5 linked regions of the Nothobranchius furzeri genome follow. The protein of the gene in region 4 purifies or fractionates together with the protein of the main gene of each other region. This does not show direct contact. Links are inferred from orthologs where the notes say so. Each region holds a gene or a part of one and is shown on either strand. Other genes may lie near its edges. The genes, in order: UAP56-interacting factor, nxt2, ranbp2, nxf1a and srsf7a.

The links.
Region 1: the proteins of nxf1a (region 4) and UAP56-interacting factor purify together in Homo sapiens (affinity purification with western blotting; 3 studies listed by BioGRID and IntAct, with this or other methods). This does not show direct contact. The link is inferred for Nothobranchius furzeri from reciprocal best matches to the Homo sapiens genes NXF1 and FYTTD1.
Region 2: the proteins of nxf1a (region 4) and nxt2 purify together in Homo sapiens (co-immunoprecipitation; 5 studies listed by BioGRID and IntAct, counting the BioPlex papers as one, with this or other methods). This does not show direct contact. The link is inferred for Nothobranchius furzeri from reciprocal best matches to the Homo sapiens genes NXF1 and NXT2.
Region 3: the proteins of nxf1a (region 4) and ranbp2 purify together in Homo sapiens (co-immunoprecipitation; 5 studies listed by BioGRID and IntAct, with this or other methods). This does not show direct contact. The link is inferred for Nothobranchius furzeri from reciprocal best matches to the Homo sapiens genes NXF1 and RANBP2.
Region 5: the proteins of nxf1a (region 4) and srsf7a purify together in Homo sapiens (affinity purification with western blotting; 3 studies listed by BioGRID and IntAct, with this or other methods). This does not show direct contact. The link is inferred for Nothobranchius furzeri from reciprocal best matches to the Homo sapiens genes NXF1 and SRSF7.

Annotation. Positions count from the first base shown.
Region 1 is NC_091751.1:69,956,026-69,960,077, forward strand, and holds UAP56-interacting factor, read left to right. Parts: upstream 1-1,250; 5' UTR 1,251-1,382; coding exon 1,383-1,419; intron 1,420-1,512; coding exon 1,513-1,611; intron 1,612-1,684; coding exon 1,685-1,836; intron 1,837-2,340; coding exon 2,341-2,450; intron 2,451-2,512; coding exon 2,513-2,612; intron 2,613-2,680; coding exon 2,681-2,736; intron 2,737-2,819; coding exon 2,820-2,894; intron 2,895-2,984; coding exon 2,985-3,111; intron 3,112-3,191; coding exon 3,192-3,293; 3' UTR 3,294-3,556; downstream 3,557-4,052. UniProt on the Homo sapiens protein: Required for mRNA export from the nucleus to the cytoplasm. Acts as an adapter that uses the DDX39B/UAP56-NFX1 pathway to ensure efficient mRNA export and delivering to the nuclear pore.
Region 2 is NC_091741.1:25,497,689-25,501,637, reverse strand, and holds the start of nxt2 (NTF2-related export protein 2), read left to right. Parts: upstream 1-1,138; 5' UTR 1,139-1,288; coding exon 1,289-1,303; intron 1,304-1,442; coding exon 1,443-1,529; intron 1,530-3,949. Other genes in the region: psmd10 (26S proteasome non-ATPase regulatory subunit 10), read right to left, coding at 43-189, 537-635, 725-838. UniProt on the Homo sapiens protein: Regulator of protein export for NES-containing proteins. Also plays a role in mRNA nuclear export.
Region 3 is NC_091747.1:23,235,797-23,239,313, reverse strand, and holds part of ranbp2 (E3 SUMO-protein ligase RanBP2), read right to left. Parts: intron 2,712-3,517; coding exon 2,631-2,711; intron 2,430-2,630; coding exon 2,254-2,429; intron 1,963-2,253; coding exon 1,698-1,962; intron 1-1,697. UniProt on the Homo sapiens protein: E3 SUMO-protein ligase which facilitates SUMO1 and SUMO2 conjugation by UBE2I. Involved in transport factor (Ran-GTP, karyopherin)-mediated protein import via the F-G repeat-containing domain which acts as a docking site for substrates.
Region 4 is NC_091741.1:88,110,465-88,113,032, forward strand, and holds the end of nxf1a (nuclear RNA export factor 1), read right to left. Parts: intron 1,265-2,568; coding exon 1,082-1,264; intron 998-1,081; coding exon 937-997; intron 843-936; coding exon 804-842; 3' UTR 509-803; downstream 1-508.
Region 5 is NC_091753.1:46,881,478-46,885,587, reverse strand, and holds the start of srsf7a (serine and arginine rich splicing factor 7a), read left to right. Parts: upstream 1-1,297; 5' UTR 1,298-1,963; intron 1,964-1,979; exon of another isoform or gene 1,980-2,085; intron 2,086-4,110.

The sequences.
Region 1 (4,052 bases), on a different chromosome or scaffold from region 4:
CAGCTCTGCGTTCAACACCATCCTCCCTGCTCTGCTCCAGGACAAGCTCTCCATGCTCAACGTACCCAACTCCACCTGCAGGTGGATCACTGACTTCCTGACGGACCGAAGGCAGTGCGTGCGGCTGGGGAAGAATGTTTCCACCATTCAGACAATTAGCACAGGATCTCCACAGGGCTGTGTACTTTCTCCTCTGCTCTTCTCCCTGTACACAAACTGCTGCAGCTCGAGCCATGACTCCGTTAAACTGATCAAGTTTGCGGACGACACCACCCTCATCGGGCTCATCTCTGACGGTGACGAGTCTGCCTACAGGAGGGAGGTGGATCGGCTGGTGTGCTGGTGCAGCAGCAACAACCTGGAGCTCAATGCTCAGAAGACAGTGGAGACGATTGTGGACTTCAGGAAAGTCACAGCCCCATCTCTCCCACTCGTCCTGACGGACACCCCCGTCACCACTGTGGACTCCTTCCGCTTCCTCGGAACCACCATCACACATGACCTTAGGTGGGAGCCATCCATCAGCTCCCTGATCAAAAAGGCCCAGCAGAGGATGTACTTCTGCGGCAGTTGAAAAAGGCCAAGCTGCCGGCCCAGATGATGGTGCAGTTTTACACGGCCATCATTGAGTCCATCCTCACCTCCTCCATCGCTGTGTGGTACGCTGGAGCCACAGTGAGGGACAAACATAGACTGCAGCGCATTGTGCGCTCCGCTGAGAAGGTGATTGGCTGCAGCCTTCCATCTCTCCAGGACCTGTACGTCTCCAGAACTCGGGGGCGTGCAGGTCGGATAGCAGCTGACCCTTCTCACCCGGGTCACAGACTTTTCGAGCCGCTCCCCTCAGGCAGGAGGTTACGGTCCATCCGGACCAGAACCTCCCGCCATAAGAACAGCTTCTTTCCATCTGCCGTTAGACTTGTGAACAGCTTATAAACACACAACCATGCTGGTCTTCTGTACTCGACATAACGTCACGTTACCGGCCATGTTACCATTATTACCATTACCTGCCTTTTTTTATAGTTGAAAGTTTTATGCTAGTTTTATTATATTTTATTCTACTTTATTCTATTTCTGAAATTTATTATTCATGTTATATGTAGCACATTAGTACCGAAACAAGTTCCTAGTTTGTGAACTGCTTGTTCACTGACAATGGCAATAAACCTTTTTCTGATTGTGATCAGTACCGCAGGAGAGGATGGGTTGTGATCCACCCTCCAGGCCAGCAGGGGGCGCTAACGCTGCATGCGTTGTTTGTCTCCCGTCCAAGGGAAGAAGCAGCAGCTCCGGAGGCGTTTCAGCTGTTGTAGCGTTAGCCGACTTCTTAGTTACACCTGCTCATAAACCAAGGTGGTTTCCCAGAAGGCCGGACGACCATGGCAGCGCCTCCCGATAAAGTGGACATGTCGCTGGGTAAGGGTTTGTGTTTAATGGCGGGTCTCGCGCCGTTAGCTGCGCTGTTGTAGCAGGCGGACTGACCCGCTGCTGCTGTGCTAACTTTGACAGATGACATCATCCGCTTGAACAAAAAAGAGAGACAGTTCAAAAGGAGACAAGCCAACACGAACCGCCGACCGTTCAAGAAAAAGGGCCAAGGAAGAGCAGGTGAGTCCCGCCGTGACAGGTAGACTCCGGCCTACGCAGCATTCGTGTGACGTCACAAACATCCTCTCACCAGGAGGAGGAGGAGCCCCTAAGTTCAGAAGCAGAGGGGTTGCTTCCCTGCCGGGGCGATGGCGGGGTCAAGGGTTAATCACGGGGCTGGCGGCCAGGAGGCCAGCTGCCCTGCTGAAGCGGACCGGGACCCTGAACAGATCAGCAGGCAGCCAGGTAACGGCTGTCTGACCGTTGTCCCTTCATCACCATCTAACCTGCTAGGTTGTTGTCTCTCACCTTGTAGCCGATCCACCCTCCAGCCCAAGTCCACGTCGGTAATGTGGGAATCAGTTCGCTGGGACAAGAACCTTGATTTCATCCTGGAACCTCGGGTAGGAATCGACAAGTGAACTAATCATACTTCAGCTATGAGGAAGCTGATCTAGAGAACCAAGATGTTGTTTCTCCAGTCGGTCTGCACTCTGACCTCGTTCAAGTCCTGGAAATTCACTGGAAGCAGCGGAAAGGAACTCCCTCCGAGAGGTGGAGCGTCCCACCCTCAGGGATGTCCATTCAGCTGCTCGAGTTGGGTCTGACCTCTAACGAGAGCATCTTCTGAGGGAGGAGGCCCGGATCTGCCTCGCCTCCGATCATCAGACATCTTCTGTGCTGTCAGAATCCAGCCACGCTTTTTATCATGTGATGACTCGACCTAATGACGAAGATCTGTTGTTACAGAAGCTGAGACCGAGGCGCTCGGAGGCTCAGAGACGGCTGTACCGGCAGCCCGATCCACTCAGAGGCCAGAACTCCACATCCACCAGGAGACCCTTCCAGCTGCGCGGACGGTGAGCGAGTCCCACTAGTTTACTTTGTGACGTCCGATCGGCTTTATTTTATTCTACAACAGGGCTGGTTTGGATTTCTGCTTTCTCAGGCCGCCGCCCCCTGTCCAGCAGACGCAGAGGGAGGCCCGCCAGGCCATGTTTCTGTTTAACAGAGGCCTCAAGGTACTTGCTGCCAGCTCAGCTGTTGCATCCTCCATCCATCAGCTGACACGCGTCACTCTCCTCCTCAGGTTCAAGCTCAGGTCCGGAGGCCAAACCCCCACGCCCCCCCGACACAAGCGAGACAGTGAGCACAGCAGGGCTTCCGTTTCAGGTGACCTCATACCTGCCTCCATCAGGAAGGTCTAAGTGTGTCTGTTTGTCCACCAGGTGGCGGACTTCAACAACCAGCGATGGAATCCTGACCGTTTCTATCGACAACCCGTCAGCCAGGACTCAGCCGGAGTGAGCGTCGGCCCGGTCCAGCACACGCAGCACGTAGAAGGTTCTGGTGGGTAGGGTGGGTTTCAGCTTGTGTGTGGATCGTGTTTACAGGCCTCCCACTGCGTGGACTCTGTACCCCCCACCCGTCAACCCAGCTCCTGTGAAAGAGGAAACGGTGGAGAAGAAGATCCCAAAAGGAGTTCCTCTTCAGTTTGACATCAACAGTGTCGGCAAACCGGTGAGAGCGGCACCTTCCAGCTGCTGCTGCTGGTGGTGGATCTGCACGGTTAACATGTGGCCTCTGACTTCCCTCCTCAGCAAACGTCCATGACCCTGAACGAGCGTTTCCGGATCCTGAAAGGTCAGCGCACTGCGGCGGCGCAGAGCGGCAAAGGCAGCAGATTTGTTACCGTGGGCTAGCGGGTGGGGCGGAGCCACCCAGCGCCGCCGTCTCACCAGACGAGTCCTACCGTTTGTTGTGTTCAGACTGTCGTGTCGTGGATATCCAGTACTGGGATCTCGTGTTTTAAGTTTGGGACTTGAAACTGTTAAAACCGTGAACACTTTCCTTCCAGACGACTGTGTTTGCTACAATAGCACGTGTGTGTGTGTGTGTGCAGCGCATTTTTCAGATGACTCGTTTTGTAATTTCTTCAAATAAATGAGTTTCTCTAACTTTGTAACCATGTTGCGTCTATGGGAGGAATCTCACGTGTTTGTAGCTGCAGCTTCACACCCCGGTCTGGATTCAGAGCCCTACAGGCTCCATGAGCAGCAACAGCTACATTTGATCTTGTAGAGCGCACACACACACGCACGCACGCATAAACACACACACACAGGCACCCATGCATGCACACATACACACACACGCATGCATGCACACATACGCACACCCATGTGTGCGTATGTGTGCATGCATGCACGCATAAACACAGACACACATGCATACACACATACACACACAGGCACCCATGCATGCACGCACGCATGCATAAACACAGACACACACAGCATGCACACATACACACACACAGGCACCCATGCATGCACACATACACACACACGCATGCATGCACACATGCACGCATAAACACAGACACACATGCATACACACATACACACACAGGCACCCATGCATGCACGCACGCATGCATAAACACAGACACACACAGCATG
Region 2 (3,949 bases), about 63 Mb from region 4:
TGTGTAGTCCCAGTTATTGTGACTGTGAGCAGCAAACTCTACCTCATATCGGTCTTTAGAGGCAGCATAGTGCAGAGGTGTGCATCCGTTCTGGTTGACAGAGTTCAGCTGAGCTCCTTTGCATATCAGATCCCTCACTATGTCTTCTCTGCCTGCAGATGCAGCGATGTGCAAAGGAGTCCAACAGGCCTGGGGAATGACCCAAAGCGCACGGTGTTAGTAAGATGTCACCTTTCTAAAACAGCTTAAACCAGGGGTGCCCAATCCTGGTTCTGGAGGACCGGTATCCAGCAAGTTTTGTGGTTTTTCTGCTCCCACACACTTGATTCAGTGGTTGAATCACCTGTGCAGCAGTTGATCAGGCTCTGCAGAAGCCTCCTAATTAAAGGTTAATCGCCTGCTGACGGAGATAAGGTGTGTTGAAACAGGGTTAAAACTTAAAAATGCTGGATAAAACCTCCAGGACCAGGATTGGGCACCCCTGGCTTAAACTAAAACCAACTCTTTAGTTTTATTTTAACATAGAATATGCATACATCATCTTGCACATTCACATCAACTCCCAGTTCAAGCAGAAACGCCACTATATTGGTGTGACCAGCCGAACAAGCCCAGTGTAGAGCGGTCCTGCCGTCCTGAAACCAGAGATTAACCAGGTCAGCTCATTTGGAAAAAACAAAAGAAAAAGTAATAACGCTGGAATTGCTAGTTCGTTTATTCTTACCTGATCCGTTTTGCTGGCAAGCGTTTTGTCTAGCATAACACACTGTCTTAGTCTCTCGTACTGACCGGTGTATGCTAAATTACAGACTTCCACGTTAGACACAGAACCCTCCATAGTCCAAAAATTAAATAAAACTTCAAGGTAATGTTTGAAATTGCTGCGTTCGCGAGCGCGATGACTCAGGAAATTGTGAGCTCTACATCCGCTTAGGTCATTTTTTTCTCTTCAAAATAAAACACAAGGACCAAATTGTTGCACTTTTTTCCTGTACATATTATTTATAGCATAATATAGCACCGTATTTTCCTATAATATTTTTTGTAAAACTATATAAAACACACACATTGTGATAAATAAACTTCATTGAATTCGACCAAAGGTTCATGCCTTTTATTTTGGTAGGTTCAAGTTTTGCTCTCAGGAAGTAAAACATGCTACAGGCCACATGCGTCGCTTACTAAACGAACAAAGGGAGAAAATATTGCAAGTTTTAATATTTTCATCTAAATTCTTACAATTTTCTGATTTGTATTGTGCAGCACTAGTCCATATGTACATGTAGACATGGCAAGTACCCTGGTAAGTTTATTACTTTAGTTACACGTGGCTTCTGTAGCCAAAAGCTCAGAAGCTAATCATGGTATGCTACTTTTCATTTTAAGCTCAAATAAATGCATTAGTTAAATTAAATGTATTTATTGCCTGATTATCACTTCAGGATTTCAGGACCCATGCCGACCAGTCGTGCAGGTATGCGGAGGAGTTTGTTAACATTTACTACGACTGCATGGACAAGAAAAGGAGGGTGAGCGTCTGAAAGTTGATTGTTTTTAAACACACTTGGTTTTCATTATTTTTATGAACATACAGGACCTTTCCAGATTTGATCACATATTTATAAACTTCTCTTTTGGAATGTAAGCTATAAAAACTGCTGTTCCACAGTTTCCTCACTAGGGAGCAGTGGTTTTAATCCAAACGTTTACTAGATTCCTGTTGTAACTATATTCAGGAAACACTTACGCTGTTTAAAATTTAAAAAGTTAAAATTAATATTTATGTACATTTCTGCAATTTATTTGAAAATTAATAACATGCATCGACACATGTACTCTTCTGTTATAATTTTTTTATTAGAATTTCTGATTACAGGTGACTCAAAATTCTTAAGAATGTTTGAATTTTTTGTGGCATGTCAAAATTTTTGAAAGTAATTGAATGAAAAAGGTTTCACTGAGATTTGTTGCACAACAATTGTTTACTTTCATTAGACAGGGAAGTGAAACAAGTGTTTCTGCTCTGTTCATGCAACGTAGTTACTGGAGGTTTTGAAGAGGTCTTGAAAATACTTGAGTCTGACATTAGAAATGTGTAAGAATCCTAGAGTTATTTTTCAATAAATTTAGCTTAAATTTTTTTTTAAATCCTCATTTTATGGGAGATTTAAACAAATCAAAACAAAATTTATATAGAAATTCATGAATACATTTATTTGACCCTTCAAATTGAATAAAAAAATTATATTCAATCATATATTATTATTATTGTTATTATTGTTGTTATTTAATTTTTTTGTAATCTATCTACAAAGGTTTTTATTATGTTGTAATGCGTTTGACATTTCCCTCCTAGATTTTATCTACTCTTTGGTTTCCATCTTTATCTTTATGTCGGCATTTTCTTTAACATTCCTGGCTCACTTTTATATCTCTGTGCGCCGTTACACTAATGAGCAGGACTTTGTTTTGTGATGTGGAATGGTTCTTATCGGGTGTCCATATTGATAAATGATAATGATAAATGACCCACACTTGTACAGCACCTTTCAGAGTCAGAAGACTCCAAAGAGCTTTGCACTTCAGTGTATCATTCATCCATTCACACACGGGTGGTGATGAGCTACAGTGTAGCCACAGCTGCCCTGGGGCACACTAACAGAGGGGAGGCTGCCAAGCACAGGTGCAACCAGTCCCACCAACCCCCACCAGCAGGCAAGATGGGTTAAGTGTATTGTCCAAGGACATCCTTCCATCCATTTTCAGCTGCTTATCCGAGGTCGGGTCACGGGGGTAGTAGCCTAAGCAGAGAAGCCCAGATTTCCCCCGCTCAGCTATTTGGGCCAGCTTCTCTGGGGCAATCCCAAGAAGCTCCCTGGCCAGCCATGAGACAAAGTCCTTCCAGCGTGTTCTGGGTCTTCTATTAGGTCTTCTTACGGCTGGACCTGCCCGGAAAACCTCACCAGAGAGGCGTCCAGGAGGCATCTTAACTAGATGCCCGAGCCACCTCAACTGGCTCCTCTTGATGTGGAGAAGCAGCGGGTCTACTCCGACCCCCTCCCGAATGACCGAGCTTCTCACCCTATCTCTAAGAAAGAGACCAGCCACCCAGCGGAGAAAACTTATTTTGGCCGCTTGTATCCACGATCTCATTCTTTTGGTCACTACCCAAAGCTCATGACCATATGTGAGGGTAGGAACGTAGATCGACCAGTAAATCGAGAGCTTTTCCTCTCTCTTCATCAGGACAGACCGGTACAACGCCCACAGTACTGTAGATGCAGCACCAATCCGCCTATCGATCTCCCACTCCATCTTTCCCTCACTCGTGAACAAGACCCCGAGATACTTAAACTCCTCCACTTGAGGCGAGACCTCATCCCTGACCTGGAGAAGGCATTCTACCCTTTTCTGGTCAAAAACCACGTCTCGGATTTAGACTAAAAAAACAAAACAGCAACTTAATTCTTCTTTGCCACCAGCTGATTGAGATAATGTCATTTTTTAAGAGTTAAACTGAAATAACTGCAGATGTCTAGACTATTTTATCTTTTACTAACAATCCGTAACAGCTGTGTTGCACACTGAAAGATAATACCCCCCCACCCCTCCAACACACACACACACACAGAGAAGCAACATTATGGACAAACAGGAACACATCATTCCACGTGTTGCAATTATATAGGCCGGATCTTTTCCTGTTCCACTTGCTAAACAACTTTAGAGCAACATTCCCAAAAGTGGTTAACTCCAGAGCTTGTGATGTTAAATTCATTAGATTGTTATAACATCCTCCGTTATTCATCTGTGTTTCTCAGCTCTTGTTCAAATAATCTGACTGGATGAGACTGTTGTCATTAATGGTTCTTGATCTGGGCTAAAGCTGAATCATACGTCATCAGTAATGTAGTTTATACTGTTATTTCCTATAAGATGATGTTATTGT
Region 3 (3,517 bases), on a different chromosome or scaffold from region 4:
GTTTAAGGAAATTGGCTGCCAGCCACCTCTTCACATCAGAGACCATTCTTGAGTAATAAATCTGTGTTTTGTCTAGGGCTGCACAATATATCGCAAATATATCATTATCGCGATATCAACATGCGCAATATGCATATCACAAAGAACAGATAAATATCGCAATGAACGGTCAGCTCAAATGTTTGCTACACATGACGCATTCTGTCAATCAAATGGAAGCATGATGCTTTTTTAACAAATCAAATAGAGCTCTTCATCCATTTGGCCAACTGGGTGGGTTCTCATAGGTTAAATGCCCGCCCCCGACACTTAATTTTGATGGTTAGCAAACACCCGAGTTAGCTTTGTTCTGCTCTTTCTGCTGATTCTGCTTTTCCCGGGATCCACTGATTGCCTTTTCTTGTTCATTTTCTTTTTCCCTTTCTTGACACCTTTTGCTTTTCTCATTTTTATTTATTTATTTTTTTTATTTCTTTGTTTTTGATCATTTTTGTTCCACAGTTAAGTTTTAATTTATCGCAAGTAATACTGTCATCGCAATATTAATCACTGTTATCGCACATCGCAGCTTTTTCTAATATCGTGCAGCCCTAGTTTTGTCCATTCATTGCCGAGTATATCTGAAAGTCATCTGCGTAGCTATGGTAGCCTATGCTGTACCATTTTAAAATCTGTCCCAAAGGGAGAAGATAGATGGAGAACAGAATGAGCCCCCAGGACAGAACCCTGCAGCTCCCCCCAGGTCAACAGAAGGCAGGGAGAGGCACAGTCACCCATACACACACACAAAAAAGACCCATTTGCCAGATAGGAACGGAACCAACCCAGGGCTGGACCCAAAAGACCGACCCAGCATTTTAGATAATTTAGCAGGATTTGATGGTCGACTGTATCAAAAGCTGCTGAGAGGTCCAGCAACAGCAGCAGAATGTGGGACTCCTGAGTCGGATGCTACCAAGTACATGAATCAAAGCAGACTCGGCGCTGTGATGTGGTCTGAATTAGGCATGCAAAATTACGATACTGGTATCTGTGCCGATACAGATATTGGTATCGGTAAAAGTTAACAGATACCAGTAACTGATACCAATGCAGTTGCTTGAAAGTGACTTCCCTGTAACTTGTCATTTTTGTTCATCTAATATTTTAGTTTTGTGATCACTTATATTACTTTTTATCTACCTCACAGTCTTTTCCTGTTGAAAACAGAGAAGAAAATAAAACCTGTATTCTAATTCATTGCATTTTTTGGTGTGGTAGAAGTATCTGCATCGGTTATCGGTATCGGTGAGTACTCAGATCCAAGTATCGGTATCGTATCGGTTTGGAAAAAAGTGGTATCGTTGCATCCCTAGTCTGAATGCAGACTGAAACTTATTTAACAGTGCATTGTCCTCCATATTGGCCGTAATCTGTGAATGAACAGCTTTCTCCAAGACCTTTGAAGGAATGGAGCTTGACGTTTTATGACAAATGACTAAAGAAATGACGAATACAGAAATAAACGCATTAATGATAGAAAACACCTAAAGGACAACTCTAGTGTGTTCTCTTTTCTTAATGCATTTCTAAAGTATCGGATCGGGACTCGGTATTGGCAGACTCTGAAAATCAAATGCCTCTGAATCAGAAGCATAAAAACGTGATCGGAACATCCACTACTGTTAACTACATACGTGAACATCAGTCCTAAGCACCTTCTGTACCTTGACCAGTAGTTGTGACAGCTAAAGCTGAAGAATCAGGTCCTGTTTTAGTCTCTGGGTTCTTCTTAGTGGACAGGTCAATCGGGAAGCTGCAGCTGGGCGTTTCGCTCCTAGTGTCTGTTTTGACTGAAGTTAGACCATCGGATGTCGACATGCTTGAAGCCTCTGCACTGTTGGATGGTGGTGCTGAGGCTGGGTTCTCTGGGGCCTCTACAGAACTGCTGGATGCCGGCTCAGCTCCCTTTAACTGGGCCACCTGATTAAATTAAACCCACGTTATTTTATGACTACATCCTTCCCGGTGTATTATGTGTGTATGCCTGTAGAAAATGACTGGTATTCCTGAAAAACAGAAGCCTTGACTGACTAGCTGCAGCATCATGATTACCTGAGCAGATCCTACCATCCAAACCCACCACCAACCTGACAGAACAGACTTAAGCCTTTTTCTACAAACAGCTCCACATATAGCTGATCATGTAAACGCATGTTGGTAAACACCCCCCTCAATAAGTGAACTAAACTCCACCCCCACTGAGTTAGTTACCAGGTCTTTGTGTGCTTTGTGGACTTCTGTCTCAAAGTCTTCAGGCTTGTCGCTGTCTGGGTCACTATCTGTGGTGCTCAGGCCGCAGAAGAATGTGGGTGGGAGCTGGAGGCTTTTGGCCTTCTCCTCCTCCTCTGGTGTTGGTTTCTTCTCCCACACAATCTGACAGTCTGGCTCTGAAAGCAGAACTCACAAGATTAGTGTGACACATCGACGGTGTGACAGCATGACTTGCTCAGAAGAAGCACCACCATTACTGCAGCAGAGCACATAGTTAATGTGGTTAATTCATATTTATTATATTCAATAAACTGTTCTAATGAATCAAAGCAATGATAAATGTTATGTAGATGCTGACTTGACTGAGTTAGACTTACCTTCATGACAAGCTGCTGCCTCAGGAGGATCTAGGTAGAGCTTTCCATTCAAGGCTTTAACTGCTGACTCAAAGTCCTCATCTGACAGTAAAATACAAATTAGTACTATTAAAATAAATATATAAATGACTGCACATGACCAACAACCCAGTTCCAAAACAGAAGCGGTTAGTTTCGGTGGTTCTTGAGCAGAGGTGGAAATGAAAACTTTTCTACCAGCCACTCAAACATTTAACCAGCCACGTTTTTATGTGAAACATTTTGCCTCAGTTAGCAGCTTCTATCTCTGCTCTGAGGGAGTTTCTCTCAACTTCAGCTTTGTACGTCAAACACTCTGGCTGCTTCCAATTCACATCAGTTTATTCCCTTCCTTTCATCTAATCCACAATGAAGGAGAAAAAATCTAGGACTTGGAAGTAATAATACTTAACATTGTGGATCTTTTTACTTGGTAGTTTATTTTAGTATTAGCTGGCTTATGCTAGTGTTGGCCAGTGTTGGGAGTAATGCGGTACAAAAGTAATTAATTACTGTAATGCATTGGTTTTTGCTGTAATGTGGTAATGTAAGGCATTACAGGGAAAGAAAATGGTAATATTTACTCGGTACAATTGTCAGTAACGCAGTAATTACAATGCATTTTTAAACCCAGAATCCAGATGTGGGTTTCCTAAAAATTCAAATCGCGGGAAACCCGAAGAAAGATCCAGTATCTGCATATATTACGTCATTTATGGACTCAGCTTTGCGGGCAGAGAGGACGCCGCGGTAATGGCTCAAATACTCCAGCGGCGTCCTGCACGCGGCCGCTGCAACATTCACAAAATCGCTCCACTAAAACAAAATAATTCATATCAGCGCATGTTCTCTGGTATTCTGTACTTTTC
Region 4 (2,568 bases):
GAATCGAGCATATATCCCACTGCGTGTGTCCCGTGAGGGCAAGTGGGAGACCCCACCTCCGTTCTCATCGTAGAAAAAATCTTAAATCGCGTTGAATGACCAATTCATTAAATCAATTTCTGAAAAATAGTGATTTCCAGAGGAAATGCAGAGAAGCGCTCTGTAGGCAGACAGGACAAAAAGAGCCTTGGGAAAGCAGATAAGGGAGCAAAGCAGAAGCGACTGTGCTCTGTGAGTGCCAGGAGAAGCAGCATTCCCCCAGGTTTCTGGAGTTGACGCTGCTGTAAACTAGTCAATGTGTTATGTGGAAATAGGATGGTGTATGCACCGGTTATGCAGAATAAAAATAACTCCCTTATCTATGAAAGGTATTACGTGTGCACCATTAAATCCTGTATTTTAGTTCTAATACCATTCTGTATCTTTTCTGTCCACATAAGCATAACATTAATAAAACTACCCAGCCTTTTCCATGTTTTTCTTTCAATATGAAGTGAAATGTAATAACTGCTTTCCGAAAAATATTTTATTAACATTTAACAAATTCCAGATTAACAACTTTAAACAATTGCCCATCACGTATGTATTCTATGAACACGTCTCCTATCATCTATACAGAAAGACTACTGAGTGACGTGTAACTAGCAAAGACAGCAGCTCAAAAGAAGACTTTTAGCTGTTAAAACAAATTTAACATGAGTAAACCTGAATATTGTGACTGTAAAATTAGGGGCAGGAATAAAAGAAAACATGCTATAAATAAAATTACAGCTGGTTTTATTTCACAAAAAAGGTTGAATTCTTCACTTTATGAAGGCCACATCAGGGATCTTGCCATCCGCCTGTACACAGAAGGAAAAAACATCAAAGCCTTAGTTTAGCTTTATTCTTCTGTGTGATGAAAAACAAAAAAAGGAAGATTTGATGTTCCATTACCTTCAACTGTGTGAATATCTGAGCAGCTCTGTTGAAATCCCACTCGTTGTCCAGCAGACATCTATGACAGTAGTACAGGGTTTTAGAGACACATTTGGTTACATGTAAAACATTTGATTATTAGAAAATATTACAAGATCCTTACTTCTGTGACCATTCCAGGTTCATGCCCGACTTCTGGGAGAAGGACGTGAGCATCTCTTGCTGGGGCGCTGTTAGTGTTGGGACAGGACTGGAAGATGGGGTTGGTGCTGGAGCTACAAACGCACGGCGAATCTCCTCTGTCGTCGCCATTCGGACGAATAGCTGATCATTGACAATGCACAAACTGTAAAAACAGGAAGCAGTCAGTGAGTTTTAAATCCTCTTAGTAGAAGGAGGAAACTTTCAGATGTGTGAAAGATTCTGTCACACTGCAGGGTTTGCGAAAACGTCTGAGCCACTCTGTAACGGATTTGTACATCAAGAAGTGGGGTGCCAGCCAGGTCTCTCTCCTGACATATAAGATCAACTGCATCAATTAGTTAACCTTGATGTACGCAGAATCCCTAAAAAGAATGCAACATAGAAACACCCTTCTTCAAAGGAGACACTAAACTAAAATTACTTGATCAACTCAAATTGAGACATCACACAACCAACAACAAACAAATCAGCAGCTTATTGCTCCTCATTAATTATTGATTCGCATCAGTGACAGGGAAGCTACCAATGTAACCGTTCTGCGCTCGGCGGCACTCTCGCAGTCAAACTCTATTTTGAACTCACGGAACCCGACTTTCTCCCAACGGGTCTCGTGGTTCTCGCAGAAGAGCATAAGTACAGAGGTCCAACTCAGAAGAGGAACCTGGGTGAAACAGCTGCGCATCCAACCGAAACTGCGATCCTGTCCTCCTCTTAATCTCTGCTGTGGATTGGCATTCTCGTCTGTCCTCCGTTTTGTCGTTTTCACAAATATTCCCCTTTTTTCAAAATGACTTATTTCTCTCCATCAATCCTCCTTCCGCTTGTCTGCGTCTCTGCCTCTCACTGTCAGAGGGGGCAATCAGACACACCTAATCAGGTCACGCGCCTCTTTTTTAAAGATGCACTCGCCACAGAGGAAATGACATAAGGAAGCATGTAAGATAAAAAAAAAAAAGAAAAAAAAAAAAAAAAGAAAACACAGAACTGGCAAACTGCCACACCGCCTGCTCATTATCATCCGGCCAGCCTCTAAAAGGGGCATTTCTGTTTGTGAACGAGAACGCCCACTCCAAAACGGGAACGCCCCGTCTTATTCGCTCCTGAAATGTTACTTCACCCCCGATGTTTCAAAATAAGTTATTTTCTCCGCTCATCTGTTTTCCGTCTTTCTTATACAGGTATTGATCATATGTGCTCATCCTGCCCTTTCATTTTGTGTTGCTGGTTTGAGGTGAGCGCGCGCCACGCTCTCCGAACCCGAACCTGCCTTTACAGTCAGGTCCATAAATATTGTGACATCGACAATGCTAACATTTTTGGCTCTATACACCACCACAATGGATATGAAATGAAACGAACAAGAAGTGCTTTAACTGCAGATTGTCAGCTTTTATTTGAGGGTATTTACATCTAAGTCAGGTGAACGGTGTAGGAATTACAACAGTT
Region 5 (4,110 bases), on a different chromosome or scaffold from region 4:
TGTTAGAGATGATCAGCACCAGCTGGGACAGATGTATCACCTCCAATCTGCACTCCAGCCAGATGTGACCCGGATTTGGCTCAAGCAGCCAGAAACAGAACTGTCCTGATGCAACATCCCGACAATGTTCCGTGTTTCCATGAAGTTCTGTACTAACTGTCGGCTTCGGCCTTTGCTGTTCTGTACTTAGATGTGATTCCCCTCCCATCCAGCCTCACAGACTCCTCCTAGTGTGTGTCTGTGTTTTTTTCCTTCCTTTCTGTGTTCCTCTGCACATGCATGACAAATTCCCGTGTTCGTGTCTTAGCAGCATGGTCTACTCTGATAGAATTCCTACATTTGAAATACAAATGTCTCTCTGAGATACAACATTCAAAAACACAACCACACATCTGTCTGCTGCTATCTCCTGCTAAGCAGCATCCATTTTTAATAACATTTTTTGAACCAACGATATTTCTGTGTCTGTGTTGTAAATGTTCACCCTCTTATCCCCACCTCCCTGCTCCCTCCCAGGTCTTGCTCTTCAGTGTCTTTCTGTGAAGTTGTTTCCTGTGATGATGACATTTTCTCTCTGCTTGAACCTTTGTAGGGAAACAATGAAGGAGTTATTACAATATCATGTGATAGACATATACATTTATTCAATGCTCTAATAAATTAACTAAAGTTTTGTATGAAATGCAAAGAAAAAAAACTTTAGAAAAAAGTAGTTTTGGAACATATGGCATGAGATGTAATGTGTTACTGACAGAAAAAGAAGGTCTTTAATCAACTAAAGTTGACCTTAGTTAAATATAGTTTATTTATTTTAAAAGTATGATGTGTCTGTCTTCATTTTCTACCTTAAATGATCAAATAATTAGCATGTTTTAACCCTCTCAGGCTCAAAATAAGTTTAGATAAAAGGACGAATAACTAAGTCCTTCGGGTACTTCTGAATTAAAAAAATGCTCATGAAATAGGTATGTAGAGTGACCAGGTAGGTTTTAACGTTGCAAATCTGCAACGCCTGCCTCCAGAGGGTCAAATAAGACATTATTTTAAAGTATATTTGTTAAGGAAATGTTAATGAGCCATTCTTATAGTGAATTAATATTTTCATTATATAAATTAGCCATAATATCAGACAGTGCCATGACATTTTACCAAATGTATTGGTTATTAATTAAAATTATTATCAATCCTTGAAGGATTGCATATCACCAATTGCATTTTAATTATGGATTTGAAGCTAAATATTTTTGGGGAAATTAGGTAAGTAGCCAATTTCCTATTATGTATAAAATAATGTAATTTGCCATTGCTATCATGAAATTATTCTCAGCTACTGCCAGGTGAAAGTATATGTAAACTGACTGAATTATAACCATCCTTCTGTTTGTTGGGGTCAATTAGCTGTGGAAACCATCTTAAATTGGTGGGCCCCTAAGTTTAATCAGTTGCAGATGCAGATGATGGCTACATTATTTATAGATCACTAGATATTTTGTAATGCTTTCCAGAGAGTGCAAGCCTTAGCTGGTTTTTATAGTGTTTGTAATAATAAAATAAATAAAGAATTAAGTAAATAAGTAAATAATAATAATAATAATAAAGTGTGGACATTTATCCATGTTTCTTAGTAAACATAAATTTGCCCCCAAAATGTAAACTCATTTTGAACATCAAGTGTTGCAAATTATTTCCTTGTGTTTTCAATCTATTTGTTTCAATTTATTTATGTTGTATCGTGTTATTATGTTCAAAATAAATAAATAAATAAATAAATAAATAAATAAATAAATAAATAAATAAATAAATAAATAAATTTTACAATTTTCCTACCGAACAGAGAAGCGCTTGGCAGCAGGCCATATTTTGTTACACCGCATTCCGCCTGGGGGCGGTAGTGCGTCATTCCATTAAGCTTGTCTGATACAAGAGGAAGAAGGAAACGCGTCGCTGCTCGTCGGTAGCCTTGGTAAGTGAAGTAATTTAAGAGCTAAGAAAAAAAATCATGTTATTTGTGTGAACGAGAAGTCCTTTCGAATCATTGTTTTCCCGCTTAACGTGACTGCGAAATGTTGGTTGAGACAGCTGGAGGTAATCTTTGAAACGGATTTTTAATATAAAAAAATGAGCAGAGGAAGTTGAGGCCTACTAGCGCGTGCTACCGCCATTGTTAATGAGCCAGGGCCTCGACTAATTTCTGGATTTTACCGTTTACTTCGTCAACGTGCGTTGTGTCATTGATTTTTTTAATTTATTTTACTGTAATCTCCATTTAATTTGTTCTAGAGTTTCATTTTATGTTGGTGAATTAGACTAGGCAAGGCTTCCACACAAACAGGAATCCGCATTGCACCTGAAGCTGAAAGTATCCTCCTTACGCAGGTATTGTAAACCTGTCGCATCTGACAAACATTGACACGGTGAAATTGCTAATAGCCGTCAAGAACATTCGACATGAATGTCAGTGGCATGAACAGTTAAATTTAGAGACTGTAGGGGAGATCGTATTTTAGTGGGGCTCATAGACATGATGCTGATGCACCAATCGAGGCTTGTGTTTTTCAAAACACTAATTATTTATTTAGGCACACGGATAGGCTTACTGGCAAACATCATAAATAACCTTCTGTTTTAGTCGAGGAAAGGTTGATTGAGATTTCTGTGCATCTCTTATATAAAAATTTGGTTAATGTAATTGTGTGTGTGTGTTTGTGTGTGTGCGTGTGTGTGTGCGTGTGCGCTTTGAAGAACCTAATGTACAGCTTGCTTGTATTTTTAGGACTCATTAAATATTAGGCAGGGGTGGACATTAACTTCAAAACCAACCGGCCAGCCGGGCCGGTAACTCTGAATATTTACCGGCCCCACCAAGAATCTACCGGCCCCACTGGTCAGCTGCCAAAACAAGTCAAAATAAAAACGGAACCGTTTTAAATGTAATAAACCTTTATTTTGTACACATTCACAAACATAATAACGTATTCAAGTTTGAATTTGTTTGTTCCCTCAACAAAACACGATTTTGTCGTCGCATACTTCCGGCATACAACGCAGTACATCACCAACTCCGCTTTGCTGTATTCGAGCCATTGACTGTGTTCGAGATGAGCCAGTTCTGCGCAGGTTAGACCAGCGGTGATCGGCGAGCAGTGCATGCCGGTTAGATTTGTGTCCGAATTGACGCCGACTTGCTCTGACGTCATGCATACGTAGGCATCGATAACCTCGTGAGATCAAGGCGGCCACAGATTTTGGAGCAAGGCGCTGCAGTTGCTCTCCCTCGGCTGCAAAACCTAGAGGATGACGGAAACGCCTGGCTCTCACCTGATCTAAGATCTGATTGGTTCATATTTTGATCCAAACATCCGGTGGTAGAACATGAAATGTTAGTTGGTCACATGTATTCTGTAAATCATGTTACGCTGATAATAACAACAATATAGGCCATAAAGAGAAATGTGTTTTGTTTTCTTTTGTCACGTTTCCTATGAGCACACTAAACCTACAGCTGCTAACCTTTACTTATTATTACACTCATGTCTTCATATACAATATATGATATCCACAAGCACGTGAGGATGTGTTTCAGCTGCTAACAGGCACCAGAATTAAAATTGAAAATTGAACAAGTGTGAATGCTAACGCGATATCTTCATCCATCGTCACCCCCGAGCTACACATGTAGGAAAATCCAAGAGATTCAACTGGCAGAAACAACTGGTTCACACCATAGTCTCTCTCTCTCCTCTCCTCTCCCTCTCTCTCCTCTCTCCCTCTCTCTCCTCTCCTCTCCCTCTCTCTCCACTCACTCACTCACTCACTCACAGGTAGAGGAAAAGAGCTGAGGAAATTGAGGACACCAGGTAGTTAAAAGAAAATCCACAGCGGAGCCGAGGCGCGCCTCGAATGGGGCGCGTCTGATTTGAACTGAGGAGCGGCGAGCAGCGGCCGGACTTCGTGAGCGATTCGCTTCGGGCGCTTCCGCGGCCGGTGTGTCCCCGGCAAAACGCCGTCTTTCAGCCACTCCCCCTGCTTCTTCCGTCTGCTCTCGTATGTTTTCCAGGCGAGGCGCTGCTCAACTCGAACACGGCCATTCTCTGCGCCTCCCGTCTTCTT